Linked DNA regions of Oryctolagus cuniculus. The protein of the gene in region 3 purifies or fractionates together with the protein of the main gene of each other region. This does not show direct contact. Links are inferred from orthologs where the notes say so. Each region holds a gene or a part of one and is shown on either strand. Other genes may lie near its edges. The genes, in order: WWP2, WWP1, TXNIP and NLRP3.

The links.
Region 1: the proteins of TXNIP (region 3) and WWP2 purify together in Homo sapiens (affinity purification with mass spectrometry; 3 studies listed by BioGRID and IntAct, with this or other methods). This does not show direct contact. The link is inferred for Oryctolagus cuniculus from reciprocal best matches to the Homo sapiens genes TXNIP and WWP2.
Region 2: the proteins of TXNIP (region 3) and WWP1 purify together in Homo sapiens (affinity purification with mass spectrometry; 4 studies listed by BioGRID and IntAct, counting the BioPlex papers as one, with this or other methods). This does not show direct contact. The link is inferred for Oryctolagus cuniculus from reciprocal best matches to the Homo sapiens genes TXNIP and WWP1.
Region 4: the proteins of TXNIP (region 3) and NLRP3 purify together in Homo sapiens (affinity purification with western blotting, with the first as the bait; 4 studies listed by BioGRID). This does not show direct contact. The link is inferred for Oryctolagus cuniculus from reciprocal best matches to the Homo sapiens genes TXNIP and NLRP3.

Annotation. Positions count from the first base shown.
Region 1 is NC_091449.1:53,022,033-53,029,405, reverse strand, and holds part of WWP2 (NEDD4-like E3 ubiquitin-protein ligase WWP2), read right to left. Parts: intron 6,460-7,373; exon of another isoform or gene 6,258-6,459; intron 6,062-6,257; coding exon 6,007-6,061; intron 3,044-6,006; coding exon 2,962-3,043; intron 2,434-2,961; coding exon 2,305-2,433; intron 1,929-2,304; coding exon 1,853-1,928; intron 1,619-1,852; coding exon 1,547-1,618; intron 1,404-1,546; coding exon 1,315-1,403; intron 499-1,314; exon of another isoform or gene 437-498; intron 1-436. UniProt on the Homo sapiens protein: E3 ubiquitin-protein ligase which accepts ubiquitin from an E2 ubiquitin-conjugating enzyme in the form of a thioester and then directly transfers the ubiquitin to targeted substrates.
Region 2 is NC_091437.1:111,620,451-111,628,314, reverse strand, and holds the start of WWP1 (NEDD4-like E3 ubiquitin-protein ligase WWP1), read right to left. Parts: upstream 4,763-7,864; 5' UTR 4,386-4,762; intron 1-4,385. UniProt on the Homo sapiens protein: E3 ubiquitin-protein ligase which accepts ubiquitin from an E2 ubiquitin-conjugating enzyme in the form of a thioester and then directly transfers the ubiquitin to targeted substrates.
Region 3 is NC_091438.1:48,895,678-48,903,850, reverse strand, and holds TXNIP (thioredoxin-interacting protein), read right to left. Parts: upstream 5,291-8,173; coding exon 5,041-5,290; exon of another isoform or gene 4,569-5,040; coding exon 4,496-4,568; exon of another isoform or gene 4,381-4,495; coding exon 4,233-4,380; exon of another isoform or gene 4,121-4,232; coding exon 4,018-4,120; exon of another isoform or gene 3,878-4,017; coding exon 3,621-3,877; exon of another isoform or gene 3,535-3,620; coding exon 3,378-3,534; exon of another isoform or gene 3,264-3,377; coding exon 3,112-3,263; exon of another isoform or gene 2,987-3,111; coding exon 2,951-2,986; 3' UTR 1,636-2,950; downstream 1-1,635. UniProt on the Homo sapiens protein: May act as an oxidative stress mediator by inhibiting thioredoxin activity or by limiting its bioavailability.
Region 4 is NC_091437.1:1,749,480-1,756,852, reverse strand, and holds part of NLRP3 (NACHT, LRR and PYD domains-containing protein 3), read right to left. Parts: coding exon 6,246-7,373; intron 3,604-6,245; coding exon 3,433-3,603; intron 1,777-3,432; coding exon 1,606-1,776; intron 1-1,605. UniProt on the Homo sapiens protein: Sensor component of the NLRP3 inflammasome, which mediates inflammasome activation in response to defects in membrane integrity, leading to secretion of inflammatory cytokines IL1B and IL18 and pyroptosis.

The DNA.
Region 1 (7,373 bases), on a different chromosome or scaffold from region 3:
TTTTAGGACAATCTTCCTGCAAAGGTGCCATGTGAACAGCAGCCACCTGTTGCCCTCCCTCGCCGGGCAGGCAGCAGAACGCGGCTGACTACGTGGTAACATGTTCCCACGCCCTGACCGTGCAGACCCTGCAACCCTGCTGCCTCCAGCCTGCAGACCCCAGCCCCGGCAGCAGCTCACCACCCGTGCACTCCGCCCTTCCCGCACTCCAGACCCCTCACCGTTCCCTTCCCCACACCGCGCTCTCGTGAGACCCAACACCCACGCTTTGGCATCTATTCGCATCCTAGGTACAAGCCTCAAGCCAGAGTTCTGAGTCCTCCTGGGCTTGGGCTATGCTGGCAGGGGCCATCCCGGGGGGCCGGTCCCTGGCTGCTGGGCGGATGTGGCTGGGCAGACGAGGAGTCCTTCGACGCAGAGGGTGCCCCAGTATCCTGTCCGTGGTTCTACCCTGTGGTAGAACAGCATGACGTAACCTACCATAGGGTAAAACCACTGGCAGGACACAGAGAGAGAGACACAGGCAGGAGCCACACCAGAAGCCCACCAAGCAGAGCCTGGAGAGAGGTCACCACAGGAGAAAGAGCAGTCCGTCCGCGGGGGCCGATGCAGAAGGCAACGCCAGCAGCGAACAGGGGCGCAGAACCGAGGAACCCAACACCAAGCGAAGACATCCCCGCACCGGGAGAGGTCAGCGGGCCGAGAGCGCACCGCCACCGGGACGCTCCTCCTCTCTGCCAGGGCCCCTCCGCCTCACTGTCCCAGGCAGCCTCTGCCCAGAGGGCCTGGGGACTCTGTGGTGCACAGGCTGCGGCCAAGCAACACTGTGGCAACGTTCGGCGACTCCAGGCACGTGACATGCAGCTGAGGAGCCAGCGAGGCCCTGTGAGTGCGAGTGTGACACGGCTCATCCCCCAGGCACGCCCATCAGGACGACTGACAGCACCTGCCCTGGTGCCTCAGGAGGAAGTGAAGCCTGGGGTCAGAGGGTGACAGTGCCATGGCCCCAGGGCTCAGCCACTGCCCACTGACACTGCTGCGCTGATGGGTAACGTATAGAAGCAAGGTCACACTGGTTCCTAAGAGAGCCCCTGCCCTGAGCCCCTGCCCTGAGCCCCCCAGCCTCCTCAGGACCCGATATGCAAAGTGTTAACACCCGGCCCAGCAGGGACTCCAGGACCCAGCTTCACCCAGCGCCCATCTGGACCAGCCTTGGGGATTAGATGTTTGTCACCCCACACCCACCGTGGCAATGAATCTGAACGAGGGAAGCCGCGGGCTGGCAGCCGGGGCGGCGGCGACGCCTGAGCTCACCTGGCGATGCCTCCGTAGTCCAGGCCCTCCTCGCCACGCATGATGATGTAGAGCCGGCGGCGCAGGTCGTAGGGCTTCATGTTCATGATCTGGGGAGACAGAGCATCGTGGCCCGCCTGCCACTCACCCTTCCACGGCAGGAAGGGGTAGGAGGGATCTCAGGCCCGCCCCCTCCACAGACACGGCCCCCAGGCTCATGGTCATAACCTGGGCACCGGGCTGATTCTCTAACCTGCTGGAAAGAATCCTCAAAAAGGGTCTGCCTGGAGACGCTGATCTTCACGTGGCTGGGCAGGGCATTGGACTGGGAAGAGAAGAGAACGCCGCACACTGAGGCCTCCGGGTGACCGGCCTACCTGGTGCGCACCTGCCAGGGTAGGCGGCCCGGCCCCGAGGCTGTCACGTGAGAGCCTGGCCCCGTGGGGACAACCAGCTGTGGTGGCACACGCGCAGTCCTGTGCCCACGCTGGGCTGGGGAAGGAGGCTGAAGTGACTCGATGCCCCCACCTGCCGCGGGAGTCCCGGGAGCACAACTCACGTGGCAGAGGAAGCGGAACTGGTGATACTTCCACCGGAAGCTTCGGTCGTAGGCACCAGGGGAGCCTTGCTTCGTCCTGGAAAGGAAAGGTGTTCCGGAAGCCAGGTGAGCTCTCGGGAACTGAGCGACCTGTCTCCATTAGCCCAGCAAAGCTGATGCCGTGTTAACTTAAAGGCGAGGAGTAAGGAATAGGAGAGAAGGGACTGCCAGTGAGGCCTCTGAAAAGCCAAAAAACAGAATCCAGAAACGACGACAGAGTCCTGCTCTGACAAACACCAGGCAGCCAAAGGCGGGGAGAGCCCTTGCTGCCCGCGGCCTTCAGCTTGCCATCAGCACTGGCCGCTAGGGGGCAGTAAGCAGCAGAGCACGTCTAGGGGTCCCCACTCCGTCCAGCAGTGGGCCTCCCGGAGCCCGCGTTGACGGGACACTGCTGGGCGTCCTGACATCCTTACCCCGACTCAAACCCTGGCCGAGGATCCTTAAAGGTGGTGGTGCGGGTGTTGTGGTCCACGAAGTACCGCACGCCCTCGCTGGTATACTTCATCTCCCAGCCCGGCGGCAGTGCCGGCTCCTGGATCATCCTGCAAACAGGAGGGACGGGGTGAAGGCCAGGCCCCGCATTCCGGGCCCCAGTGCACAGGAGGCCGGGGTCTCCCAAGTGCTGCTTTGTCTCTGCTTTCACCCAGTGCTACACAGCCCTTGGGGGTACAAGGGGGATTTAGGATATGCACTTGGCATGATCCAAGTCATGGGTGTAAAGAAGCCATCTTCTATCCCAAGGCCAAAAATCCAGCCCCGGGTGGACGGCGGTGGCTGAGTGCCCAGGCCCTGCACGTTGGCAGTGCTGGATGGACGTACCCACAACCTCTTTGTGATCAAGTTCTCAGCAGCCAGTACCAGCGGCATACAGACCAGCGACAACCGCCAGCGGAAAGGTCTACTTCAGGGACCACTTCCAAGCTCTCAGAGGCTGACACTAGATGGGGAGATGTGTGTGGCTAAAGGTCCCCAGCAGGAGCCCTGCAGGACAAAGTGGTCCAAGGCCACTTGGCCAATGCTGGAGCTGCACACAGGCCCAGCCCAGCCCCCTTCACTCCCAAAACCCTTACCCCTGGGTCCGAGGGTCTTCCCACTGGGTCGTGCGTGTATTATGGTTCACGTAATACACCCGGCCATTGTCCTGTCTCTTCTCTGCCATGGGAGAAGAAAAGAGAGGGAACAATTAAAATCCAGCAGCTTGAGCTGGGGCCATCCCGCAGCCCCGGCTCCTGGGTGCTGCGTCTGCTTTCCTGTCCGACACCAGCCTGCTGGAGAAGCGGACCCGGCCACTGGGAGACAGCACAGAATGGTCCTTCCCTGGTTGGGGTTGGGGCAGGGGCACGGACACACACACTGCAAGGGGAAGAATCCCGCACCTCTCTGGTTGTTTGCTTTGTCAGAGGAAGGGGGGCGGTGTGGCGACACAGAGGGGGCAGCCGGCTGAATCCAGGCATAATTGCATCCAGCTGTGGCAGCAGGGACGCCCTCAGCCCCAGGCCCTGCCCCACCCCGAGGCTGGCGCAGGCGGGTAATCCATCCACTCCAGGCAAGTGGGAGAGAAAACGAGGGGCCAAGGCCCCAGACCCAAAGGTGGTCACCTTTCCAGGAAAGTCCTGGGTTTCAAATCTGTTTCCATCCTGAAAACAAGGGATGTGGATGGTTCTGCCCCTTTCACAGTGAAACGCGAGGGAAGAAGTCGGACAATCCTCCCTCCCCAGAAGCTAAGGGGCACACGCGGGGGACCAGCAGCCCCCACTCAAGAATCGGGCTGCAATGGTCCCAGCGCCAAGCCAAGGGCTGATCCCTCTTTGCCTTATCTGCTCTCTCCTACTCAACTAGAATGTCCCAAGCACAAGCACTATTTATCAATCACACTCTAATAAAGCTGGAAAAACAAGTAACATAAAAATAAAAACAGGCAAGGAAGCACAGGAGGTGCAGGGAGCTGCGGCAGAGCTGCCGAGGCGGCGTGCAACTGACCTGCAGGGGAAGCTGCCCGAGAGGGTCCTGCCCGCCCGGGAGCCCCTGCTCCGAACTGTACGCCCTAGGGCCGCTCTGCTGAGGACTGAGTGGAGCCTAGCGGGGGTCTGGCCCGGCTGTCCAAGCCCTGGGCCGTTTTCCTGGCACTGCACAAATGCTGCCATGACACCTCTCCTGGCCCACAGAGCTGCCTGCGGGAGCTGGGGCAGTCTCCAGAGAGTGCCGAGCTCAACCTCACTTTCAGGAGCAGGCGGGCCGGGGCGGATTTAGCCACGAGCGAGCAGCAGCAGACGGATCTAAACCTGAGGCATCCCAGCTCCCACGGCAGTGCCTGGGACAACCATGGGTCCCAGGAGCTGAGTGCCGGAGGAACGCCGGCAGACCGACAGCATGCTCGCCACCAGTGCCGGCTCCTTTGGCCCCGCTGCCCTTCCTGCTCGTCCTTTCCCATCCCTGGGGAGGCGGCCTCCCCCACAGCCCTGGGGAAGCAACACAGAGGAAAGCCCCCGGCCTTTGGGCAAAGAGTTCTGTTTCCCGGCTGTGCACCAGTACAGTCTTATGGGTCTTTTCCGATCGCTGGCAAACAGCAGTGATTCGGCTTATGGCTTCCCTATTCTCATCTCAAATATTTTCCCTCTGAGCATCTGGGAGTTGTTTTCCAGACTCTTTAGTGGCTCTCACTTGGTGACCATCGTTCAGAACTGGCACCGAAATAAACTCACTTGACCGGGCTACACTACCTGCTTCTACAGAATCAGAAACAAACTCCAGTCCCCCAGTTTTAGGTCACCGACTACCAAATGGCATAACGGATTCTTGTTTAACCCGGCACGCTTTCCCCATGGCTGGTTTAGGTAGCGATCCCAAGTGTTTACCCTTTTACATCTGACTTACTACTAATCTCCAAGGTACCTACGGGCTCTTGTGGGCCCGAGAAGCCAGGCAAGGCCAACTATGTGCATAGGGATTCCCTAGACAGAAGTCCAGAAGCGTGTAGAAGCCTCAAGAGCTGATATTTTGCACTGGAAGAACAAGAAGGTCCCTTGAGCACTTTGGAATGCAGTGGCAATTCACCACCTGACACCCAGCAGGTCCACGGGGGCTGACACAACGTCTTCAGTTCCTACCGGGAGCAGCGGCTTCTGCTCCGAGATCGCGTGCTTCCCCAGGCTGTGCCCGTCAATCCATCCTCAGCTCACACACTTCCCCACCTCTGCTGCTCAGAGATGCTCCAGCTAGGCTCATGCCGCCTATGAACACCAGCAAGCCAACGTCTCCTGTCTTCTCCTGGCCCAACCAATAAATCAAACCCAGCACATGCTGAGTCCTTTGAAAACTGCCCTCTGGCTCCCAGGGGCTCTTGCAAGATTGAACAACAACAAAATCCCGGCCCGGCTCAGAGCTGCAGGCTGTGCCACGTCTCACCACCTCTGATGGCCCCCGCGTACACGCCGCCTCTTCTCAGGACAGCCATAAAGACCACGATCTCTCCTGAGTCACGAGTGCCAGCCCCTTCAAGCACCGTGGGCGGGTGGCACCTAGGCACCTGGGACCGGGACTCTAAGAGGTGGCCGCAGCGGCAGGAGCCCCCGGCCTGGCACCGCAACTCGCAGTGGTGCACTTTCAGAGGGTTCTGCTCCCTCATCTGCTTCCCTGCGGCCTCTTCACTGCGTGCCACAGACAAAAAGGCTTCCGCTACTCAAAGCGAGCTGCAGCCCTCCGACATCTCAGCTGCAAACAAGGGTTATTAGGGTAGCTCCTGCCAACCGTACGGTCCCAGCCGAAACAAACCCGTTTGGGAATCAGAGTCAAAATCTCTGAGTGACAGGACGGATTACTGAGTAGACACCTTGAAACTCAAGAGCCTGGCGCGCGGCCCCACAGCAGGTCGGGTGCGCCCGTCTTGGGTTCACTCTCCTACAGCTGTGCCAGGTAAACGCCACGGTGGCCTGGGGGAGCTCAATTTCCATCGCAGCCTCCCAGGTCCACCACGGGCCGCCGCCCTGGCTGTGCATCCCTAGAGTGGGCTGCAGAGAAGCGAACGGGCAAGCGAGGCACGGGAGGGAGGGAGGGAGCCACGCGGGAGAAGAGGCCAGAGTGGCGGCCAGCGTCCAGGCACTGAGCTCCGTACTTACCCCAGCCAGGAGGGAGGGGGCCCAGGGGATCATGGTCAATCGAAGCGCTTGAAGACTAAACACAAGAAACAGCAGAACACAGAGGTTAAAAAAAGCCACTGGTTAAAAATAAATGGATAAAAATAAAAACACCAACTACGCGTTTCCACGTTAGTGCTTTGTGGGGGGTGCAGCAGGCCGTAGGTGGCATCTGCTCCTCACAAAAGTCTTGTTAAAAAAAAAAAAAAAAGGTAGAAAACCCAAATAGGAACCTGTGCACAGAGGGCCCGGACGTGTCTGGGGAAGGGCGGAGCAAGCGGGAGAAAGAGGTCTGTGCAGGACGGTGGGCCCGGGCAGCTGAGGCAGCAGCCGGCCCAGGCATGGCGGCCGGGCTCGGGAGCAGGGCTACGCAGCCAGCAGCTGAGGGCCTCTGCTCAGCTCCTGCTCGCGCGGCCAAGGCGACTGAAATCACCACCACCTCCAACTTTCTCCAAGAACCACACACGGGAGGGGGAAAATATCGCAGGCCTTTCCAATGAAATCATTCCCACAAGCCCGGCCCACGCCCAGAGCTTCCTGGCGGGGGCCGGCCTCCTCCCTCCCTCCTGTGCAGCACCCACCCGGACTGAGGGCACATTCATGCCCCGGGCCCCTCACCTCCCCCATGCCTGTTTGCCTTCCCCTGCACAAAGCACCTTTATTCTCCCCCCCTCGCCTGAACCTGAAGTCGCTCAGTGTTCTCTGTTTGCCCGTCTGGGGAGGTGGGGCTGGGGGCTGGGTGGCGAGAGAGAAGGGGAGAAGGAGAAAGAAGGGGGGGACAGGCTACAGGACGCCAGGGTCACTGTTTACACTAGAATCCCCCTGCAGCCTAATTCTGCCGCTGGGTCCCAGGGGAAGGGCTGCAGGGGACAGAGCGCTCTCGCAGCCTGCGGGGAAGGGGCTGCTGTCAGAAACCGCGGCCTCCATAAAACAAGCATTGTTCTGCTCCTTCATTCGTTCCCGGGCTGGTGGCTTTTTTTTTTTTTCCTGAAGCATTTTTATTTCACTTACTAAAATTTAATCATCATATTAGGGGATCAAGTTTTAAATGCAGACTTGAGGCTGCTGGGCCGGCCCCGCCTGAGGGTGCCGGAGCCACACACGGGCAGGCGCGTGAATGGAGCTCAGTTTAGGCTTGAGCAAACACTGGTGGAGCCCAACTGCCAGGGACCCCCCCACCCCCCCACCACAGCCTCCCTCCACCCCCAACTGGAAGGACAGAGAAACTTTCTCTCCAAGGTGGCAACACAGGCTCCTCTTCCACACCAGTGCCAACAAAGACGGTTAAGTCTTGGAACCCCAGGCTCGGGGAGGGCACAGAGCCCCCTTTGAGCCCAGCGCCTCCTGCC
Region 2 (7,864 bases), on a different chromosome or scaffold from region 3:
TAAAAATCAATGATGATCTCCGGACATACCTAGTTCTCAACTGCCATGAGAATCAAATGATAGAGTATATGAAGCCATTATAAAATATATACAGCCATTATGAAAATACATAAAATGTGGCCAGCGCCGCGGCTCACTAGGCTAATCCTCCGCCTTGCGGCGCCAGCACACCGGGTTCTAGTCCCGGTCGGGGCACCAGATTCTTTCCCGATTGCCCCTCTTCCAGGCCAGCTCTCTGCTGTGGCCCAGGAAGGCAGTGGAGGATGGCCCAGGTGCTTGGGCCCTGCACCCCATGGGAGACCAGGAGAAGCACCTGGCTCCTGCCATCGGATCAGCGGGGTGCGCCGGCCGCAGCGCGCCAGCCGTGGCGGCCATTGGAGGGTGAACCAACGGCAAAAGGAAGACCTTTCTCTCTGTCTCTCTCTCTCACTGTCCACTCTGCCTGTCAAAAAAAAAAAAAAATACATAAAATGCTATGCTAATGAAGGAAATAGTCTCTTAATGCCAGCAAAGAGTGAAATTCAGCTGTGAATGTGTTTCTGTCAGACAAGTTTTTCTTCATTAAACATTAGTAACTAGTTCTTTGGACACTAGTACAAGGTTAATTTATCAGGTTTTCCACTGCTAATTATCACATAATATTTTTCTGCAGAGTTAAACAGACCAGTCTTCCCAATAACTAGGGAATCAAAGTTTCCAGAACTATAACAGACAACAAACAATAACATGCCGTGGTTTCCTACCAGAGAGACAAAACAGTTACAAAAATGTCAACTGTTCACTTATCAAAATGTGCTTTAACCATAATAGTAAGAGACAGCTACTTAATCCTTTTTTAAAAATTACTGAATAGGAATTCTCATTTCATTTGTTCTGTAAAGTTTCCATTTTCAATTGCTTCGGGCTTCCTGAATGATTGAAAGGAGTATTCATAAGTAAGGCATATAGGAACAGAAAGATTAGAAAGTCCTTAAAGTTTATTTCATTTACATCACCTCCCTCTCCCTTCCCAAGCTGAGAGATATCAGGACAATAGTTATCAAGATGATCAGTGTGCTAATGCTACCTGCTCTCCCTCCACCAATTCATTCCTCAGACCTACCAGCTTTCAGGCAAAGAGAAAACAAGCGTACAGATATTACAATGAAAATCTAAGACTAAAGAATCTAAAAATGTTCAGAGCTGGAAGGGTCATTTCCTGGGATCAATTAGTCCTTACTGATGAGGTCACTTAAAGCAGTAAGTATTTCCAAGTAATGGTAAATTTGCTGTACTATCTGAATACAAGAAAGAAAACCATCTTTGTCACCCCACTCCTGATTCCACTTCACCCACCAGCAACTCTAAGGCAAATCATTTATACTCTTGGCTACTTTGTTCTATAAAATAACAAGAGACAGTATAAAATCTCTGCAAACTGTCAACCACAACACAAGCATAACACTATGTCTCTAGGTTTATACACAGTTTATCTCTACAGTAGGTCTTCTTTTCAGTGAATGGAAGAATCTGAAGCTTCTGCTATTTTAAAAAGCTCCCAGAAGCCCCCAGCCCAACTGACTGGCCAAGGGGGTTTCATGAATGAGCTTCAGGTGGTCCATGGACTCCCCTAAAATTATATCCATAAGGCATACAAGAGTACTTCAAAAATAAAATTAAAAATAATGTGAAGTAGGTGCTTGGCCTACTACTTAAGCCATCAGTTAGGACACCCACATCCCATATCACAGTGCCTGGGTTCAAGTCCCAGCTCCACTCTGATTTCAGTTCTGTTAATGCCTCTGGGAGGCAGCAGGTGATGGCTCAAGTGGCTGGGTCCCTACCACCTCCATAGGGGACCTGGATTAAATTCCTGACTCCCAGTTTCCACCTGGCCCAGCCTGCAGCTGCAAACATTGGGGAAATGAACCAGCAACTGAGAGCGGTGTCTCTCAAAAGAAATTAAAAATAAATGCACATTTTCCAAACTCTTTGAAGAGTCCTCACTGTGCCTCTGGAAGTCTTCCAGGCTAGCAGCTTTTTTAGTTAGGATTAATAAACAGCAAAAAGTTGTAAAGTAACTCACAAACACTGAGGGTCAAGTCTACAAGGATCTTGCTCAAAATGGTCCTATTCCTCCAATCTACCTGGATCCCTCTCAAATTCTGGCTATTCTATTTCCTTTTTCCTTTCCAATCCTATTACCAAAACAGCTTAGAGCCTCCCCACCTACAATTAAGACAATCAGGAAGTGTTCCTACTTCCAGGATCTCTAGTCCTCCACTCATACAAGCTGCTACCAGATTAAGCCTCTTAAAACAATAGTCTAAAATTGTTTCACTCCCAACTTAAAAATTATCTTCGGAGCCCTCAATGCTTAGGAAATTCAAGGTCATTAGCATGGCATTAAAAACAATCCACAACTAGTCCCAAGCCTTTACCAAAGCTTTATCACCCTTTATCCTAGTACAAAAACTCTGTGTTCCATTTAACCATAATTACGTGCCTCTTCCCAGATGTATGAACTTGGTGCCCTCTCAGATTCTTCTCTTTGCTTGGATTATCTTTCCCTGTCTATCCAATGTCAGTCATTCTTCAAAACTAAGATTTAGAAAGCCAGAAGTTCTCCTAACTAACTGCACCTTTCCAGAGGATCGCAACTCTACCACTTCTGAATTTAAATTCTGGTTGGATTTTTGTATCATTATGAAACTTTACTATATATTAAAAGACAAACGGGGCATTTGTGTGTATTATTCGCAGGACTGGGGACAGAAATTGTTAATTATTCTTTGTATTCCCCAAAATACCTCATGCAGTAGATGCTAAATAACTGTGCAAGGAAGGAAAAGAAATGTCAATCGTCCTGGGGTAAACAGCAAAGATTACAATCTCTTTGAAGGCAGAGACCTTATCTATGACATCCTCTATCATGTTAGTCTTCCAAAAAACAAGCATTGTAAGGACTGCTTTTCAAAACGATGGTGTTGTGGGTCTTACAAGCAGTTCTTCACTTTATGGGAAAAACACTTTGAAATGTTTGTAAGCTATGTTCCAAAGAACTATTCCACACATTTCACACTTTTCAGTTCAAGTAGCTCCCAACTCTTGGCCACTAACATCTTCAACTTAAAAATATTAACTATTTATGAAAAATAATAATTTCCAGTAACACAATATACTGCTTTATGGCTAAAAACAAGTCACATAAATAAAAGAATGCCTTTATTTTTTAAAACCTGATTTTTTGCTTGCATAATACACAGACTTGATGAGACAGGTAAAAATGGATTTAAACATAAGCATGAACTCTTGTAGAAACCTGCAGACAGCTATAAACCAGGTGTTTCAGGTAAAAATATTAAAGAGGAGAGGGGGAAGAAAGATAACTTCGGACATTAGCTTTTGCTACTATGACCATTAGCATCTTAAAGCAAAAACTCCAATCTTTATGCATATGAGCCTACACACAAAAAAGATTAAAATCTTTCCAAATAAAAAAAGGAAAACTAAAGCAAGCCCTTACAAAATATTCTGTCTTTAAGGAGTAAAAACATCAAATTTATACATAGATAACTACTGTTTTTTTGGTGTGTGTTTTTTGTTTTTGCTTTTTGGAAACGAAGCTCTCACGTAATTACCGGAGCAAAAGAAAGTCAACTCCACATCCACGGAGTAAAGAAAAGCTCTGCACAGTCCTTGTGCATATGAGGCTGGCAATTTAAATGTTGTAAAAGCAATGGACAAAGTATCAATTTAAATTTACCACCACCACTACCACCCCTCAAAAAAAAAAAAAAAGATTAAAGAAGGGGATTGAAGTCACACGTGAGGCTGGGACTGGCAAAATCTGCAAGGTCACTGAGATCTACCAGGTCACAAAAGGTAGAGGTGGGGGTTGTGTTGGGGGGGGGGGTGGCTGCGGAATCAGTGGAAAAGCCAGATTTAAAAAAAAAAAAAAAAGCACGTCAGAAAGAGACGTTCTGAGACTGGAGTCCTTGGTTTGGGACGGCGGAAGGGGGTGAAAGTCAGGGCACGGGCAGGGAGTCCGTGCTTTGAGGGAGGTGTGAGGCAGAAACGTAGAAGCAGCAGACGAGAAGGCGAAGGGAACGGGGAACTGCGGCTGCAGAGTCACGGAAACACTTCGCCCCGCTCCAGGATCATTCGCCCAGGCCTGTGCCAGGGCCAACTCCGGGCAAGACCCGTGACCCAAGCCCAGAAAACTCCAGGCCCCCCGGGCTGGAGAAGGCAGACACGGCGGCGCGAACTGTCCCCCGACGGCCCCGAGAGAGAGAGAGAGAGAGAGAGAGAGAGAGTCCCGCCCGGGGGCGGTCGGCGCCGGACTCCCCACACCGCGGCCGAGGCTCCGGGCCCGCGCCCCGCGCCCCCCGCCCCGGCGTCCTTACCCTGCGCGAAGCTGCCGGCGCCCGGCAGCGGACGGCCACAGCTGCGGCGCCTCCTCCCGCGGCGGGCGCCCTCAACCTTCCGCGCCTAAGATCGCCATCTCGCAGCAGGCGCGGCGGCGGCGGCGGCAGCGGCAGCGGCAGCCACCCAGGCGTCGGCCCCGGCAGCCCAGGCCGCCTGCAGCCACTCGAAACCCGCACGCCGCGTTTGCCGACACCCGACCCTCCCCCCACCCCCACCCCGGCCACGCGCCACCCCCGAGTCGACCCCACACCTCCCTTCCTCGGGAGCACGCCGCGTGCCCGCGTCACCGGCGCCGCGCCCAGAGCGCGCGCCCCCTCCACCCGCCCGGGCACCGCGCTACGCAGCGGCCACCTAAAGACTCCAACTCCGGAGCCGGAATCCGGCGGATTTGCGAGCATGCGCAGCAAGGGCACCCCCGCCGCCTTTAGAAGGGCCACTCCTCCGGGTCTTCTGAGCGATCGACTCGTGTGGGGGGGCGGGGGCGGGCCAGCCAATAGGGGAAGGGGGCGTGGCCTGGACCTGTGAAAGGGGTGGGGCTTCCGCAGAGGTTTGGGAAGAGGCTTTAAGCCAGTGCTAGGTACTGCTGACTTGACTTTCCGGTACTCGGCCCAACCTGCGCGTGACCTCAAGCAGGCTCCTTAGGGCACTGGCGTCCTTTTTTACGAACGCCTTACAGCGAAAGCAGGCTGTTAATAAAGTCTGCTTGACCTAGCTGAGTGCTTGACTTAGAGCCCGTTGCCAAAGTACATGCATTTAGAAGATAGACATACCAGAAGACTTGCAATTTCTGTATATTGGTAATCAAAACGTTCACAACCCACCCCTGCCCACGTCAGCCCAGTGATAAAGCTAATACATGTTGAACAAGAGTATGTGTCAGCGCAATTAGTCCCCATAACAGTCTCATCAGGTAGCGTCTATTATTTCCATCATTCACGCCGAGTCAGCCTGTTTAGGGAAGTGCCCGTGTATTGCTTTTAGAAGGCCGAGCAAATACAAGTGAGTAAGGGCCACATTACTCATGCATGAATTTCTCGAGTGTTTGCCCAAACACCTCACCTACCCCAACAAATTACCTACGTCCACACTCTCAGAGGCTTGGTGTCCCTGCTACTCTCCCAAGCGAACCTGCGCTCTGCTCCCTCTCGGGACCCTTCCTGGCACTTCTCTAACCTCACCTGTTAGCATAACCATGTTTTAAGACTTTTCTCACCTAAACTTTCCATTGACTTTAAAACTCCCTTCCTGCTCTCTCTTCTTTTGTCACAACAGAGCTTTTCGTAGAGTGGCAGTGTCATTGTTGATGCCACTCCACGAATATTTGTGGGATCCAATAAATACCTCCTGGTGGGACACATGCACATTTCCTTCCACTCCGGGGCAGGAGTGCTGACCTCTGCCTTCACACCTGAATTTGGTCCCCATTGAATCCCCGAAGATCATTCTGAATGCCCGTCTGAGCTCGTCGCTCACCCCGCTGCTTCATTCTTTGGCTCTTCCTAGCTTTCCTGAGGAAGGTTACCGCGATAGTCAAGCCCCTTTTCATGCTCATATACTCTGTTCCTCCTCTTAGGAAAAACTCCTTCCGCTTCCCTGAATGTACTCACTCATCTCTGTGCTTTAACCACGATGTCCTCTGATTTGCCCTCTTCGTTTTGCGTAACAGTCCCTTTAAATAGATGTCACCACGAATTTGCAACTCACCGCCCCCCCCCCCACCCGCCAACCCACCCAGCAATTCCCTAAGAATTCCCAGCAAGATCTGCCCTCCTCCAGAGTGCATGCTGGCTTCCTTCTGCTTCCTGCTCTTCTCTGTCTCACGTTCAGCTCCCCCAGTTGCTCAGTTTCCCACTCAGCTTGTTTCTGTACAGAAGCGCCTAGAGTTCATCTAGCCCACTAAATTGATACCCAGTAGTGAACCATTTTTCTTTCATTATGGAATGTTCCTTTGGTTTCCAATGCACACTGTTATATATATATATATATATATATATATATATGTTTTCCCAAGTCATTATCTATGTCCTTATTTGTTGTCATAGGTTACTTCTTACAAAGTGATTGAAAATATGAACAAGTTTAGTCCTTTTGTAACTAATTGACAAGTTGACTTCTAGGAAGAGCATGTGTCCAAATGTCACATTACCTGTGATCAAAACAGCTCTGCCAACCTAACTTTCAGGACCCGGGGCACTTTTACCTTTGTGGGCCTCTTCCTCCATGAAATAATATTGTAAATTATATTAATATTACAAGTTGTGCTTCCGCACTGCTTTGGTATAAAGACAATTATATTACTATTACACATTAACATATTTTCTTTGACCTAAACGTTTATATTTTTTTATCTCCTAGTTTTAATAGAAATTAGAATTTTTTTATGGGCTGTGCAAGTATTGTGAGCCTGTGGCACTGTGCCTGCTAGGCTTAATGGATAAGCCAACCCTGTTGTCGCCTACAAACTATGAGATTAGCCCAAGTTACTTAATCTGATTATACCTCAGCTAGAAAATTGATATAATACTGCCACATGATATTGTAAAAAAAAAAAAAGAGGCTTGCTATAAGTAAAATACTTGAGTTACATAACATATATTGAAGATACATTAATCAATAAATTACTATTGTTATAATTGTTGACATCAGTTTTCCCACAGAACCATAAATGTGCTTCCTCATTGTGCCCAAGTCATTATGGTATATTTTCAAATGTGTAAACAATATTGGTCAGTTAGCTGCCCATTTTCTTATCAGAAGATTCACAAAATGGCACATTATAAAAATGTAGACATTGACCATAGGTGAAACTGTAGGTCTTCTCCGCTTTTGTTTTCTGTTTTATTTCACATATCTTTTCCCATCCTGAGATCATAATTTATCTGCCTTTACTTTTGCCCTACTTGTTTGACAATTCCCTTTTTTCAATAAATAATTTAATTATTTAGGATTTATTTTGGACTGTTGTTCTATCTTTTCTCTTCATAGCTCGTGGTATTGTATTTCCCAGCCAACTTATTAAAGAATCTTTCTGTATCTGTAGTTGCTATAAAATATCTCCATAAATGTGTTGCTATTCTCCTCCTCACAAAGTGGGACCTAATTCTCTCCCTAGAGGGTGTGGGCTATAGTTAGAGATTTGCCTCTAACAGACAGAATGTGGCAGAAGTGTCAGTGTGTCACTTCCAAGACAAGCCGGAAATAAGTCTTTGTGGATCCTCCCGATTCTCAGATCATTAGCAGCTGAGATGTGGCAAGGACACGTCAAGCAGCCCTGTGCAGAGGCCCACACAGCACGGAACTGAGACATCCTGCCAACAACCAGCAGGATTTGAGGCCTCCTGCCAATCACCATACGATTGACACATCTAACAGATCCTTCAGTCCAGGCCAACCCTTCAGATAATTGCATCTGACTGCAGCCTCATCAGACACCTTGAACGAGAACCACTCAGCTAAA
Region 3 (8,173 bases):
GCAAGTGTACTTCAGCTAGTTTATGCAGAAAACGCCCGGGGTGAGCTGGAGTTGTGCATCGAAGGAAGCAGTGTGGAGCCTTCCGCGCCCTCACACAGCGATGGGTTTCCTGCGGAGAAACAGCTCCAGCGGCTGCTTCCTGCCTCAGGTTTTGCTGCACTGCTCAGTGCCACAGTCACCAGTCACACGAAACTGTTATTAAAAATTTAGTGCGTCAGTCAAGGGAGCCACATTTCAGAGGTAAGTAGCCATGGGTGGTTAGTAGCTACTGTGCTGGAAAACAGATACAGAATGTTTCTGTCGTCATAGAAAGTTCTAGAGGATGGGGCTGGATTGGGGTACTAGGGTGTCAGGAGGGGATGCACACATCACGGTCCCCCAAGTCTCTGAAGGGGCCATGGTGTTAGTTATGTGTCCTCTCCCTGCCATTCCCTTTTCGTATCAGGTACCAGTGGCCAGACTGTGGATGCCAGCAGTGCTCCTGCCTCTCCGTCTCTCCGTCTCTCCATCCCTTTGTCTTGCCCTCTGGGCGGCTCTTGTCCTTGCTCTACCCTTCAGTCCCTGGAAAACAGGCTGCAGGTAAAAACTTTTCCATCAACTTTGACCTAATTTCCTGGTCACAAATTCCAAGGGGAGGTGCCACTAAAAATTCCTGAACAGGTGAGGAAGGGGTGGGGTGCAGTCACCATGGCGACAGGGAACACTAGAGAATGATATATTGATAATGAAAAAACAGTCAAAGAGGGTCAGGAGAAGATAGCAAGAGTTACAGAGAATGAAAAACAAACAAACAATTCAGTGGAAAAGGATCAACTTCACTTTGTGTTTCAATTCACACCGATTTTATATAGAACTCTGGGAGCCCAGTATTAGGAATTGGTATGTGGAAATCCATAAAAAAACAAAGTAATGGTCAGAACTGCACCTGTGTCAGAAGATCTAAATCACCAAGTATTATGTGTTACCCTCTGCCATCTCAGAATTTCTCAAAAATCAATTAAAGTGAAATCACGAGATCAGCCTGTTGTTACACCCCTAAGGAAGACATAGAAACTGCCAAGGCATATCCTAATTGAGCGTAGGGTTGTGTATTCAGCAAACATTTACTGGGTTATATTGTATGCTTGGCCAGAAACCAGGCTACAAACTACAGAAATTAAAAAAAAAAAAAAGTAGCTGCTTCCAACGATTTTGATACTTCTAAGTAAGCTCTTAGAAGTCTTAGTTATTCTTGTCAGTACATAAACTAAGTATACCAGGTTTATACTGGGAAGAAACCCTATGATGAAACCGTTATGAAAAAGAAAAACCTCGACCCTTTCCTTCCCAATCTCCTCATAAACCTTGTATCCCCGAATTTCAGCAATTCATGAACTGAGTAATGATTAGCTACGGATGCGTCAACTAGCTTAGCCCACCAGCAGTTCCCATTACAGTTCTTTGTAAATTGGGAAGACCAGACTTGTTCAAATTCCTTCTCTCTTCACATCCCCAAGCCCCCCCAGACTTCAGGATCAACAGCGAGTGTTCTCTCCACAAGTTTTGGGGGAGTTTTTTGTGAAGTGGGGGAAAGTTGTTTCAGGATGCCTTCTAAGAACTGCTCCAATGCTGAATCACAGACAAGAAGAAAAACACTTTTTTGCCATTAAAAATTTTTTATTTTTTACAAATGCCCCACCTGGGGTGAAAAATATATTTGGTTACATACAAAATATAGATTTTATCATACAAAAAGATACACAATTAAAATACAAAAACACAAAGTGAAAACACCTTCAGCTCACATACTTTCTGGCTGTATTTCTCAGAAAAGGGTGGCGCTCAGTGCTCTGACACAGGACAGCGAACAAAGTGCTATGGCTGATGCGGACTGACCAAACGCTAAGGGTGCAGAGGACCTGAGTGAAGACTTGCCCTCCAGTTTCTCATGGCAGTGTCTGGAGGCCCTCTGATACAGAGTTCCACCTTAGGTTTGGAGAGTCACAGTGGGCAAGGTTTTATAAAACAGCAACCTTTTCATAGGATTAGAGTGTCAGAATCATGTCATTCTGTACACTGGGACACAGTCTCTAACTTTTTTTTTTTTTTTTTTTTTTGGCCATTGTGCTTATCCCTAGAGACATAGATCAGTTGTAGCTTAATTTGCAATGAGAAGAAAAAAAATGTTTGACAGAACTAAAGTGCTAAGAGTATCACCTTAGAATCAATTCCAAGGAGTCACATAAAAAGAAAAACATTCTCCTATAAGAAAATGTTTCCATAGGAGTCACAGTGCAATAGGCTCTAAAAATGGCTTTTAAGACCTTTGGTGGAGCATAGTTACTACTGCTTTAAGCCAGGTAAAAGTACATTCTAAGCAAAGATAACCTTACAGCAGCTTCTTTTAATTCACAGGGAAGTTCTCTCCAAAGCTCAAACCAAACCAGCCTTGCAGGGTTTTTCTTTATTTCCCATTAAAGGAAAAAGGGAAACACTGATTTTAAGAACCTCCTCTTCCCAAAGTTTTGGCCATGATTCTTTTCATTTTGCCACTTTGCTAAAAAAATGACTCCATCTCACATGGCACGTTAGTTCAAGGTCTCATGTTGTTACAACGAACTATTGTCTCTCCCAAAACCACCTTGGGAAGACCTCACCAAAAGGCCATTTACATCCCTGACTCAATTAGTGAAATGCCTCAAGAACAGCTGAGAAAACAGGCTGGGCCTGAATCACTCGGAACTGTCTTTTCGAACCCACCCAGCAAACACTCCTGTATTACATTGTGCTGGCTGACGACGAGTCTGCACCTTTAAGGCCCAAGAGACTGCCTGCTGATCACCTCCTACATTAGGAGGTCAGAGGCTGGGGAGGACCCACACCCCAGTGCAGAGACTAAGTCTCTGAAAAACCAGTCCAGGAAGAGAGGCAGAAAGAAACAAGTGGGTACAGCTGCTCTTCTTCCACGTGTTCACTGCACATTGTTGTTGAGGATGCAGGGATCCACCTGGGAGCAAGAAAGAAGAGATCATTTCAGTATGTGTAAGAACTATAAAGAACCTGTGTAACACTCCAAGTCAATTTCCTACAGAGGCCTCAGAACAAATGAACAGTACAAATGACAGTTCTCACCTCTGTGTAAGTGGGTGGTGGCATGAACTTGAACTCAGGAGCATACATGAAAATAGGACTGTCTTGAGCGCCATCCACATCATCCAGCAGAGGAGTGGTGGGACTCTCCAAACGGTGATCTTCAGGAATAACATCCATATAGCAAGGGGGTGCTAGAAAAAAGAAACAGGGGGGTAAGCAGCCTGACCAAAAATAACACTGGGTGACAGCCATTTTACAAACCCAAGCAGAGCAGAGGGGAGGAGAAGACACTGGAGTTTGCTCACCTTCTGGGGTATCTGGGATGTTCAAATCTATCCAACTCATTTCAGAGCTGGTTCGGCTGGCCATGCTGGACGTCCGGCTGCTCAGACCTGACCTGCTCCCTATGACCAGCGGTAAGTCAAGGACGACTTTTTTGGAGCCAGGGACACTAATGTAGATCTAAAAGGAAGATGACCGTTTATTAGACAAGAGGTCTAGGGAACACATGACTGCTGGAGCACATCATCAGGAGCCACCCTACTCACCAGTAAGGAATATTCCACTCGAAGGATGTTGCAGCCCAGGATGGAAGGCCTGATTTTCTGCACCCGAAGGCTCTTGCCACGCCATGATGCACATGTCCCTGAGATGATATGATTGCCTCTGACTGATGACAACTTCTCAGTCAGCACCTTCGTCTGGCCATTGGCAAGGTAAGTGTGGCGGGCCACGATGGCCGCTTTGGGGACCACGATGCGGGAACATGTATTCTCAAAATCAGCGTGGATGGAAATGTCATCACCTAGCCACGAGAAGGAAGGCAACATTATCAACTGATCCTCAGCACCATCTCAGATGCTTCCTCTGTCCCATCCCATGTCCTGCAGCCACACCCACATTTCTGTTGTACTCTTCTACCCATTCTGAGTATTAGGTTTTTACCTTCACAGAATCCTTTTCTGTCAATTCGAGCAGAGACAGACACTCGCCCATCAGGAATGAACATGCAGGAAACTTTCTTCTCCTTTTTAGCAGACACAGGTGCCTATGGAGAAGGGGAGGGAAAAAGCTGTTTTAAGATGCCTCAATAGAACACCTAATATAATTAGGTACCACTCCTGTGACCCAAGAGAACTGACTCTTAAAATGAGCCTCACCATTAAATCCGGGGTATTGACATCCACAAGGTCCATCACTTCAAAGCGTTTCTTTGTTTCTTGAGTTGGCTGGCTGGGGCGATCAAGAAAAGCCTTCACCCAGTAGTCTACACAACCATATTTTCCTTTGAAGGATGTTCCCAGGGGCCTGTGTCAGGAAAAAGTAAACAATTATTTTTAAAAAGCTCCCCAAGAACAGTTAAGATATCAGAGGAGGGGGAGATTGTTAGAAGAGCCCAAAGATGCATGTAGCTAATGCCTACCCTTCGGGAAGCTCAAAGCCGAACTTGTACTCATATTTGTTTCCAGGTCTCATGATCACCATCTCATTCTCACCTGGAGAGAGAGAAAAGCAAGGAACCATTAGGTTTTATGTTACACTAAAATGCACCTGTGTGATAAGGGACATTCAGGCAGCATGCAAGGTATCTTAGTACTCCCATTTTCATCCCTTGTATTCTTCAATGAGAGACTGATGCATTTTGTTGCAAAGTCCTCCAATGTAGAGAGGCAGGACAGTTACCCTACTAACATGTCCAACAGCAAGCAAGCCAAGAATAAGCAATTTATGCACACAGACATCTTTAAACATGGGGGGGAATACCCTCCCTATCACCTCCACAGCACAGAATCCCCCCAAAACTGTACAGACCACCCTTTCTGGAGGGTGTGGGGGGTGTTCCCAAAACAAAACAAAAAACTAAACCAAACCAAATCAAGGAACTTAAAACATTACGTATCTGCTCCACTTACTCAATTCTCTTCCACAACCAGCCTCTAACCTCCAGCGAGGAGCCAGGCCGCTTACCTGTGGGCTGGTCCTCCAGGAGGAGGGTGTCTTCGTAGCGCAGGTAGTCCAAGCTCTGTTTGCACTGCTGGGACCCCTGCATCCAGAGGACTTTAGCCACTCCGCAAGCCAGGATCCTGACGGCTTTGACCCGAGTGACTTCGCACACCTCCACTATCACCCGGCCGGCCACCTTCTCCCCACTGCCATACACTTTCTCGGGGTCGTTGAAGACCACCTCAAAAGACTTGATCTTCTTGAACATCACCATGATGGGGCAGAGTTGACGCCCAAGTCAAAAATGAGGCACGGGGTACCCACAGCCCCAAATCCAAACTTCTTTGCAGTAAGTTATTTCACTCCTCCTAAGGAATAAGAGTGTCCTTAGGCAGGCTGTGTTTAAACACAAAATAAAACACAAGCAACAGATGAATCTTAATTAAATTTTAGAAAAGGTGTCCAGAATTTTCTAAGCTGCCAAGAGATTTCAAAAAAAAAAAACCAAGTTCTTTTCTTATTTTTCCCTAACAGCTGGAGGAGCGCTCTCGCCGGGGAGGCTAACAGCACCCCATGTGAAAAGAGCAGAGAAAGGTTTCTACCGCGAGCCGGAAACCGCTCTATATAGTTGTGGGGCTGGCGGAGCCACGCGAGCGCCGGCCTAGGAGCTCGTGCTGCCCTCGTGCACAGCGCTCTCATTGGTTGCCTGTCCTTGTTTACCAGGAGCCTGCCCAATCAGAGAGCTCACAGCGGCGCGTGGACACGGTGTGCTCCTGGCGGGGAAAATGGTTGTTGTGCACGGCGGCGCGGCGGCGCAGGGAGGAGGGGGCGGAGGAGCGAGGGGGGCTGAGAGGGTGGTGGGCGTCCTAGCGGTTTCTCTCGGGCCGGCTGGGAGGAGGGTCCCTATTGCCCTGAAGCCTAGTAGGGCAAGTGGGCTTTGGAGGGCGGGTGTGGACGCTTCTGGTCTGGCCGCGGCTTTTTGTGGTAAAAGGAAAAAGTGCTTATGAGGGAATTTCATGCCTAGTCTTAGCCAGTGCAGTTAATTTAGAGGCGAGTGTTTACTCCTGGCGCCCAAGTCGCAAGTCTGTGAAAATGAATCCCTTTGCTCCAGGAATACCTAAGGATTGGGACAGAGGGCAGAGAGTGCGGCTGTTACTACTGTTCAGAAAGTCCCCCTCTCTCCTCTTGGCGCCGCATCTTTAATGAAAAAACAAAAGCTGCTGTCTCTGACGAAAAGTCACTAATTCTGATCCCTCTTCAGTCTCTTCTGGACGTCGGTGTATGGGTGGGAGGTGCCCGCTCCGACCCTCTCCCGCCCCGGGGGGCTCTAGGACCGTGGGCTAGGCTGTTCCTGGTCGCGTGTACCCTCCTTTCTGTTCTCTCTGTTCTCTGGAACGGAAACAGGGCGTGTGCACATCCTGTTGCTTATCCCCTCGTCTCCTCAGTTTCTACCTGCAGGGTCGGGGAACACTTTGTGTTCCCTGCTTACCTCATTACCGGTCTAATGAGGTATGGCCATCAGTCTCTGATAAACTCTCCCTCCCTGCTTCTCCAGGAAAGAAAAATAAAATGGGGGAAAGAAAGGATGCTTCACGCTTCCCTTTCTTCATAAGCTACTTTCGCTCTGCTCTTCATCTACTCCTCCAGCCTACGAAATCAAAGGCACCTCCATAAATCTGTTGCCCCACGCAGCGCTCACGCTGGTGAAAAGCAAGAAAGATCGCCATAATAGAAGTGTCGGTGTAGAGCTAGCCATACCCCTGTTGGAAGGAACAATTTCCTGTGTTTTAAGTGGTTCCCCTCATCCCTCACCCTCGCAAGCTTTTGGAAATCAGAAGAGAAAGAGAAAGAAGGGTGGTCACAGGGCACAGGGCAAGCTAAAGGGAGCCCCAATTTCATTTTGTGTTGATTTCAGTTGGCTGTCAGGTGGGGTTTTCCCTGCTAAATGTAAAATGCCTTGGGAGCTAACTCCTGAGAACTTGTTCTTAAATGTGATAACAACAACTTGTATGCAGAACTGGAGTTCTCTTTTCTTTGATTCACAGAACCCTCATATATCTGTTGGGATGTCACGAGAACGTTACCTCATTTCTTAGGCTGGAAAGAGGAAGATAATGTCCCCAAGCTTTAGACGAGGAAGTAAATAAGAAGCCCGTGAGTGTGTAGAAATCCTACCCTTTCAGCAAAAAGAACGCTATTCACTGCTGTTCCTTCCTCATACACCTTAATTGGGTTGACACCCTGAGGCTAGCAAGTTACAACTCAACCCCAGTATTAAGCAAGCTCAAGAGTCAGACATGAAAACTGTGTTGAAACACACATACACATACTGTATCAAACCCCAGGAACATGTTGATCCTTAGGGTGTGTGGGTTTGAGGTGGCGCCCTGTTCTAGAAAGTTAACCAACTAGGCTTGATTTGTTTTGAGTTGGTCAACACTGTTGACTGAGTTACTGGGGACAGAGTAGTTGAGACTCTAAATTTTGAAAGTTAAAAATTGTGGCTTCCTGGAGTACTTTTAGTTCAGTATGAAAGTATATATAAATATGAAACATTGATTACAACGAAACAGATGACTCAACATTGGTATATTTACAATATGTAAACACATAAATTATGAGGGAATAGGAGGAGGGAAAGATTTTAGTAATGGATCAGAATGGTATTGAATTGGTACATATTAGAGACAAGGGAATGCTGATAATGTATTTATAAGGACATGTGTATAAGGTCTGAATTGTTAAATGTTAAAAATCCTATGGCAAGTCTCTCTCGTTCTGTTTCTCTGAGGCTCCAGTTTCTTCAGTCTTCCCATTTTGCAGAGCTCAGTACAGACCACTTGTTTGCTCTGTGTTGTGCCCAAGTTCCCTTGAATGCCAAGAGACTGTTTTGGCAGCAGCGGCCGCAGCAGCAGCAGCAGCCGCAGCACTACCAGGCCTGGAGCCAAGGCATGTTCTGAAATGGAGGCCTCCTGGACAGAGTTGTTTACAACCTTTCACCTTATAACTCGGTATTCTGATAAAAAACCTGCTCCCCCATTCTTTTTTCCTTAGTTCTTGGGTCAAAGGAAGAAAAAAAATCTTGTAAACTCCTGTTCTGAAACCAGGGTACAAACACTTGTGTTTTATGAGAAAAAAAGGATAGGCCCAGGAAGAT
Region 4 (7,373 bases), on a different chromosome or scaffold from region 3:
TGGCGGCCCCATAACTGCCTTGCCTCTATGCCAGTCCACGTGTGGGAGGGAGTGAACCGAAGCCTGCAACTTTTGATTCCATTTTCTGTTGGCTGTAATAACAAGCAGGCACCTTCCAAGCTTATGTCAATACTACATCTTACCAGCCGCTGCATTTAGTTTCATTATAGCAAAATACACATCATAAGATTCACCATTTTAACTATTCTGAAGGGCACAGCTCAGTGGCTTTATGAACCTTCCCGCCGTTGCGCAACCCTCACCACCATCTATCTGTACAATTCTTCTCATCTTGCAATACTGAAAGGCTGCACCCATTAAACACTAACTCCCCTTCCACCTCCCCCAGCCCCAAGCAACCTCCATCCTGCTTACTGTCCCTGCAACACTGGATGGTCTCAGAACTTCACGTAAGTGGAGTCACATGGCCTCTGTCCATTTTCATGTGGCTCGTCTCACTTGGCACTAGGTCCATCTGTGTCCCAGCAGAGGTCAGAATGCCTTTTAAAGCCACAGGACATGGGTGCCACTTCTTACATACATCAAGGCACAGCTGGGTTTCTTCTACCTCCTAGCCACTGTTGGTGCCACTGTAGGTGTGGGGATACAGATATGTGTCTCGGCTTCCAGTTCTGGTGTGCACTGACCTAGAAGTGGGATTGCTGGACAATGGCCATGCTCTCCTGTGGGAGGACCTGCCATGCTGTGCCCACCATGGCTGCACTGCTTCATGCCTCCCCCACAGTGCACAGTTTCCCTACATCCTTACCAACACTTGTTGGTTTCTTGTGAGTCTGCATTTATTTTATGAAAGTCATCCCAATGGGTGGAAATTGGCCCTTTCCAATACTGTCTTCTCCTTGAAATTCCAGTCTCAGGCAGATAGCTGGCACAGCAGTTAAGACAAGACTTGGATGTCCAGACCCCACATAGAATACTTAGGTTTGAGTCCTGCCTCTGCATCTGATTCTAGCTTCCTGCTAATGCACACCCTGAGAAGCAGCAGTGATGGCTGAAATACTTGGGTCCCTGCCACCCACATAGGAGATCCCTGTGTAGTTTTGTCTCCTGGCTTCAGCCTGGCCCAGCCTAGCTGCTTCAGGCATTTGGGGGAATGAACCAATGAGTGGAAGATCTTTCTTTCTTTTTTTTTCTTTTTTCTCTTTCTTTCTTTTTCTTTCTTTCTTTCTCTCTCTCTCCTTCCTTCCTTCCTTCCTTCCTTCCTTCCTTCCTTCCTCTCTCTCTCTCTTCCCCCCTCCGTCTCCCTCTCCTTCTCCCTCTCCCTCTCCCCCTACCTCTCCCTCTCCCCCTCCTTCTACCTCTCTCTCTCTCCCTCTCCTGTCTTTATTTATTTATAAATAAACTTTAAAGGTTCTGGCCTCTCAGAAGCATTAGAAGGGCAGCACCCCAGCATGGGGCACTCTGTGTGTGTGCAGAGGACCTGGGGGTGGTTCCAACTCTCCCATAAAGCAGCAACCTGCCCAGCACTGTTCAGCCAGGCTCCACCCACCGGAAAGGCAGGTATTACTCTATTTCTGTCTTTCCCTGGCACAGGGACAGCAGACTGAGACCCAGAGACCCGGGCACCTGGTGGTGCAGACTCACCAGAGCTTCTGCAGCTGGCAGGACAGGTGCCTCAGCCCCACACACAGCAGCCTGACCCCAAAGTCTCCCAGGGCGTTGTCACTCAGGTCCAGCTCCACCAGCTTCTGGCTGCCACTCAGGACCAGTGAGATGTCGAAGCAGCACTGGTGGGAGAGGCCACAGCGGCCCAGCCTTGGCGCCAAGCACAAAGCGTCAGCGTTAGTACCAGGCAGCGTTTGGGTCCCTGCCACCCACATAGGGTGGCACACCCTGCTCTCTCAAGGGCGCATCACCTGACCAGCGAGCTCACGAGCACAGTTCAGCAGCTCCCAGCCTGGGATCATGAGCATGGAGAGCACCCCTGCGTGATGGCCTGGCAGCAAAGAGCACCAGGTACACCACGACCCACCCCGGAGCTACCCAGGCCCAGGCCCGCACCATGCCCCTGGTGGGGTTGTGCCCAGCTACTTCTTGCCCTCATCGCACTGTGCTCCACCTCACTTAAAGTGCCCTGCAGCAGAAACTTAAGGAGCCGTCGCTGGTGATGAGGGACTTGTCAGAGGCCTCGGTTTGTTTTTCCCAAGGTTCATATGTGGAAATCCTGGTGCCCTTAAGAAGTGGAGGCACCTTTAAGAGTAGAGTCTACAGGGGAAGGTGAGGTCACCGTGGAGTGGCCCTCAGAAGGGACTAAGGTAGCTCTTGTGGAACCCACTTAGTTCCCAGGACAGTGAGCCCTTCTGACAGACCAAGCCACTTCAGTCTGTGCACTGGACTCCTAACTCAGATTCCCAACTCCCCCTCTGCGATCTCCCCTCTCTGTCTCACTGTGTTTCTCCCAGGGCCAGGGCCGTGCTGTCTGGATTTCACACTAGTGAAACTGTGAGCTAAGTGAGTTCCTTTCCTTCCTAAGTGCTCAGCCTCAGTCATTGCTGTAGCAATGGGAAAGTGTTGTGACCACACACACCCCAGTATGTGTGCGCCCCATGGGGCGAGAATGACACCACAGCCCCTCCCACGCCAGCGTCCACGGGGCCTGCACTTGCTGCACTCCTTCCTTCCCACCCCACCTCCAGGCCAACTACAAGCAAATGGACAAGGAGGCCTCCTCTGTCCCACAAACCCCACAGTGTCACTGGACTTCCTGCTGTGCCTTGCCCTCCGGGGACCTGCGGAGGACTCTTGTGGGGGTGATGGAGAGTATCACAGAGGCACATGGCTTCCAGATAAATAATGAATCTTTTTTTAAAGGAAAGAGAAAATCACATTTTGGTGTGTTCTAGTTCCTGTCCCCTTGTGGTGTGGCGAAGCTTTCCAGTCTGGGGCTCTGAGGGAGGCCAGAGAAAAGGGAACCTGCGGGGCCTGGCTCTCCTCCCCGCTGCCCTTCCTTCTCCCCTGCCAACGCTCCCAAGCACTTGGCCTCTGACCTGCTCTGCCTCCCCCTGCTCCTGTTCTGAGGCCCTTGCCCCCCTGACTTCAGAGCATGGCTGGGTTTGGAAACAGGGTCTCCAAGGAGGAAGTTAAGCCAAAGCAAGGTCCTCAGTGTGGGCCCCATTCACAGGAATGCAGGAAGAGTTCATGACGCAGATGCACAGGGATGACCCCTGAGGACACAGGGGAAGACAGCATCAAGGAGCCCACGAGCGAACCTCAGAGGCCACCAACCCTACGGGCCGTGGACTTGCCGCTCCCAGAGCTGTGAGGAAATAAGCTTCTGCTGTCCAATGTCCAAGCACCACCCCTGGGGCATTTTGTTTCCATGACAGCGTGGGAAGTTCCTGCGCCCTGATGCAGTCCCTAAGAGCCTTCTCCAGTCTCCCCTCTGTCAGCACTGCACACCCATGGGCTTACCAGAGTCTGCGAATGTTGCAGCCGGGATGCTGGAGCGCTTCACACAGGACCCTCATCCCAGGGTCTCCCAGGCTGTTGTCACTCAGGTCCAGTTCTGTCAGGCTTGGATTGGTACTTAGAACTGAGAAGAGGCCCCGGCAAAAGCTGGACGTGAGACAGGAGTTCACCAATCTAGCGGTCGAAGGAAGGAGAGCAAAGGAAATCAGGCTCCACAATAGAAACTGGCGCAGGGGCTGGGATACTTCCTAGGGTTAAGAAAGGGGTCATGAACCAAAGGCGATTCCTGGAGGGAGAAGGGGCTGAGGACATGAGAAGACCAGGCGGACACCTCATGATGGACGGAAGTGCAGCCTGAGGCTTGGCTGATCAAGAGGGCCTTCTGCTCCCTTTCTCCAGCTGTCCTGACCACAGCCCAGACACTATGGGAGACGTAGGGAGTCAGGTCCTCCTGTGAATGAGAGAGAGTGAGCCCACGGGGCTGACAGCCGCATCGCAGGTGCTGTCACCCGCAACACAGGTGCTGTCACAGGCACAAGGCTGGAATCTGCAGCAGGGCCGGCTTCTGCCAATGACTTTCCAACTCCAGGTCGCTCTCTGTGCAGTGACACTTGGACTCGCCCTCAGCTCTCGTTCACACGCATGTCTGATTCCATATCTAGGACTGGGTGTTGATTCTGCTGTGCTGACCAGGCCCCCTGAAGGTTCTGGGACCACTAAGCGAGGTCCAGGGGCCGAGAGTGGCTGCTGTCACCAGAACCCAGTGCTGAGTTTCTGCTCCGGGGATGCCACCAGCCTTCTCTGGGTGGGAGTTCTTGCTCAGGCTCCTGGCTGCTCCCCCACAGACCCAGGGCCGCCTCCTTTCCTGTCTGCCCACCTCTCCTTCCCCAGGGCTCTGGTCTGAATGTGGGGTCTCCAGAGGTCCTAGGTTGAAACTTTCACCCAGCACAGTGCTGTGTGCTGTGGTTGGGGGCTGGGCTCCTGGGGGTGACGAGGCTGAGGGTGGAGCCCTCGTGAGCAGGATCAGGGCCTTTGCAAGAGGAAGCCCAGAGATGCCCCGCCCTTCACTTTGTGAGGACGTGGCTGGAGGCCGCCACGTGGGAACGGCACCCTCCCCTGCCAGGAACCACCACGCGGACGCTTCACTCAGGCTGGGCGCAGGCGCAAGGCAGCGAGCAGCCCCATGGTCGGCTCTGTCTCCAGCAGGTCTGAATTCCTGGCCGTCTCGGAAATGGGCCTGCTTCCCATCCCTGTCCCTGAACGCTACTCCGTTCACCATGGCAGGACCCGGTCCTTCCCGGCCGCGGTGGGCCGGAGGGCATCCGGGCAGCCTGAAAGAGCGGGAACTCACCACTGCCGGCAGAAAGACCCAGTTCCCTCTTGGTCCTGTCCCAGCCTCGTGTGAAGATTGACACACTGGCGCCTTCTACCGCTGGGCGCCCAGTGCAGACCGCGGGCAGCCACAACACCCAGGCAGCAGAGCCCGGCGCTCCTCCCCGAGCCTAGGATGGCGGGTTCCAGAACCTTCGCGTCTCACCACAGTGGGGCAGGGACGGACCGACCTGACTGAGCTTTCCCACACCCGGCACCCCTCAGCATCCACAGCGTTGAAAACCAGCGAGGGGTGCACGTCCCCCGATCTCTCTCGGAAGGCTCGTTCCCAGGTGCCCAGGTCCCAAAGCACTGCCCACCCTCCCAAGCTCTCGCCTTCCTGGGCTGCCCCTCACTGCCCTCAGGTCTCAGGGCAGCTCGGGTCCCTCTCCCCTGAGACTCTGGGCCTAGGGCTGTCTTACCCGGTGCGGCCAGCTGCACAGCCTGCCCCTCAGAAGCCCTCACACGGATGGCCCTAGGTCTTGGACTCCCGCCTCTGTGATCAGAGACCACATCTCTGCCCTACACTACGTAGGCCCAGCAGTCCTGATCTTACTGCTGGAGCCTGGCACAGAGCCCCAAGCAGATCACCAGAGGCTGGAGTGTGTGTGAAATCCCACATCCCAGCTAACCTCTGTGAGAAACCAGCATCCCCAAACATTTGCTGACTGCTTTACTCTTTCGGGGGGTTGTTTCTTACTCATCTCATCTATCTGCCAATCATGAGTCAATGGGTCCGATGAAGAGATCTGGCAGGGATGGGGGGCATTGTTTTGTGCCTGTGGAAACTGCGATTGGAAGACAACTGAACAGGGAGAGCAGGAGCAGCCATTTAGCTCAGTGGTTAAGATACCCATGTCCCATGGGGAGGGAGCCATGCAGTGGGTGAAGCTGCAGCTTGGGTTGCTGCATCCAGCTTCCTGTTAATGCTTCCTGGAGGTAGTGGATTGAGTCCCTGCAACCCACACAGGAGACCAGGAGTTCCAGGCTCCTGGCTTTGGCTCCTGTTGCAGGCATTTGGAGAGTGAACCAACAGATGGAAGATCTCTCTCCCACGATCTCTGCCTTTCAAGTAGATGAAAATGCATAAAGAAAAATTATCTAAAAGATGCCCACATCCCATATCAGAGTGCTTGAGTTCAAGTCCCTTCTCCGGCTCCTGGCTCCAGCTTCCTGCCAGTGCAGACCTGGGAAGGCAGCAGCAATGGCTCCAGGTGACTGGGTCCCTACCACCCACATGGGAGACCTGGATTGTGTTCCTGACTCCTGGCTCCAGCTCCAGCCCAGCCTTGGATGTTGCAGGTTAGGGAGTAAACCAGTGGACGGGAGCTGTCTCTCTGCCTTTCAAATATATAAGAAAATAAAAGAGGAGAGGAAGTGAGTACAAGAACAAGGTGCAGCAGCAGACGCTTACTCTACCCATGGCTGCAGATGAGCTGGCTTACCTCCATGAGCAGGCGGCATGAGGGCCCTGGCGGTTGGGGCAGCCCACATCAAAGAGTGGACTTTCCACCTCCTCTTCCTCCTCCTCCTCTTCTTCCTCCTTGGGTGAATTATGCAGAAACCCCAGTGAAAGTGATTCTACGCTGTGACAGTTTCCAATGCAGAAAGAGGACACCACGTGGTCCATGCGGGTGGAGAGGTTGATCTCGATTCTGGGGAAGTGGCCCATGGCCTCCCGCACAAAGGCCTCCTCCTGCATCTCATACAGGCAGTAGAACAGCTCCAGCTGGCTTGGCTGTATCTGCAGCTTCTTGGCGTTGGCTTTTGTCTCGATCCACCGCAGCAGCTCTGGCCGAACTTGCTGGGAGATCTTGCAGCTCAGCTTCTTCTCCAGGTAGGAGGCCCTCTCCTGATTCACAAGGCCGAAGAGGAAACGCACAACGAAAATCAGATACCCCTTTTCGAATTTGCCATAGTTTTCGAGAAGGACCCTCACATCTCGGTGTGGGAGGTCCAAGCCCCTTGCCGGCGGGCTCCTCCCTGTGCCTGCCCCCTCCTCCTTCTCCTCCTCCTCCTCCTCCAGCACATAGTACATGGCGGCAAAGAACTCCTGGAAGGTCAAGTGGACGAAGCTGTAGAAGGCCTCGCAGTCCACCTCCTTCTGGAACAGGCTCATCCTCAGGAAGGCAGACACTTCTGCCTCCTGCAGGCCGTGCCTCCTCAGGTCACGCTCCTCAAACAGGATTTTCTGGTTCCAGATGCCATCAGCAGCCAAGGAGCAGAGACCCCGGAGGTGGCCAGAGAGGCGTTGCTCCTGGCTGCCTCCGCGGGACTGCAGCAAGCTGGACAGGAAGAATGTGTACACAGCTGTGGTGGTCTTGGAGGTGGTGGTCTTGGCCCTGTGCTTGCCGCCCTGCATCTGCTGCTTCAGCCCTGTGCACACGATCCAGCACACCAGTGGGATGCAGCACATGCTGAGCAGGACCTCATTCTCCTGGAGGAGGCTGAAGGCCTCCCTGGCCTGCGCCTCCTCCAGGAAGTACTTGAAGAAATACTCCTTCCGCCGGGCCTCGGAGAAGCCCAGCACCTCCACGTGGCGGGGGCGGTCCAGGAGGTGCTGCAGCTTCTCC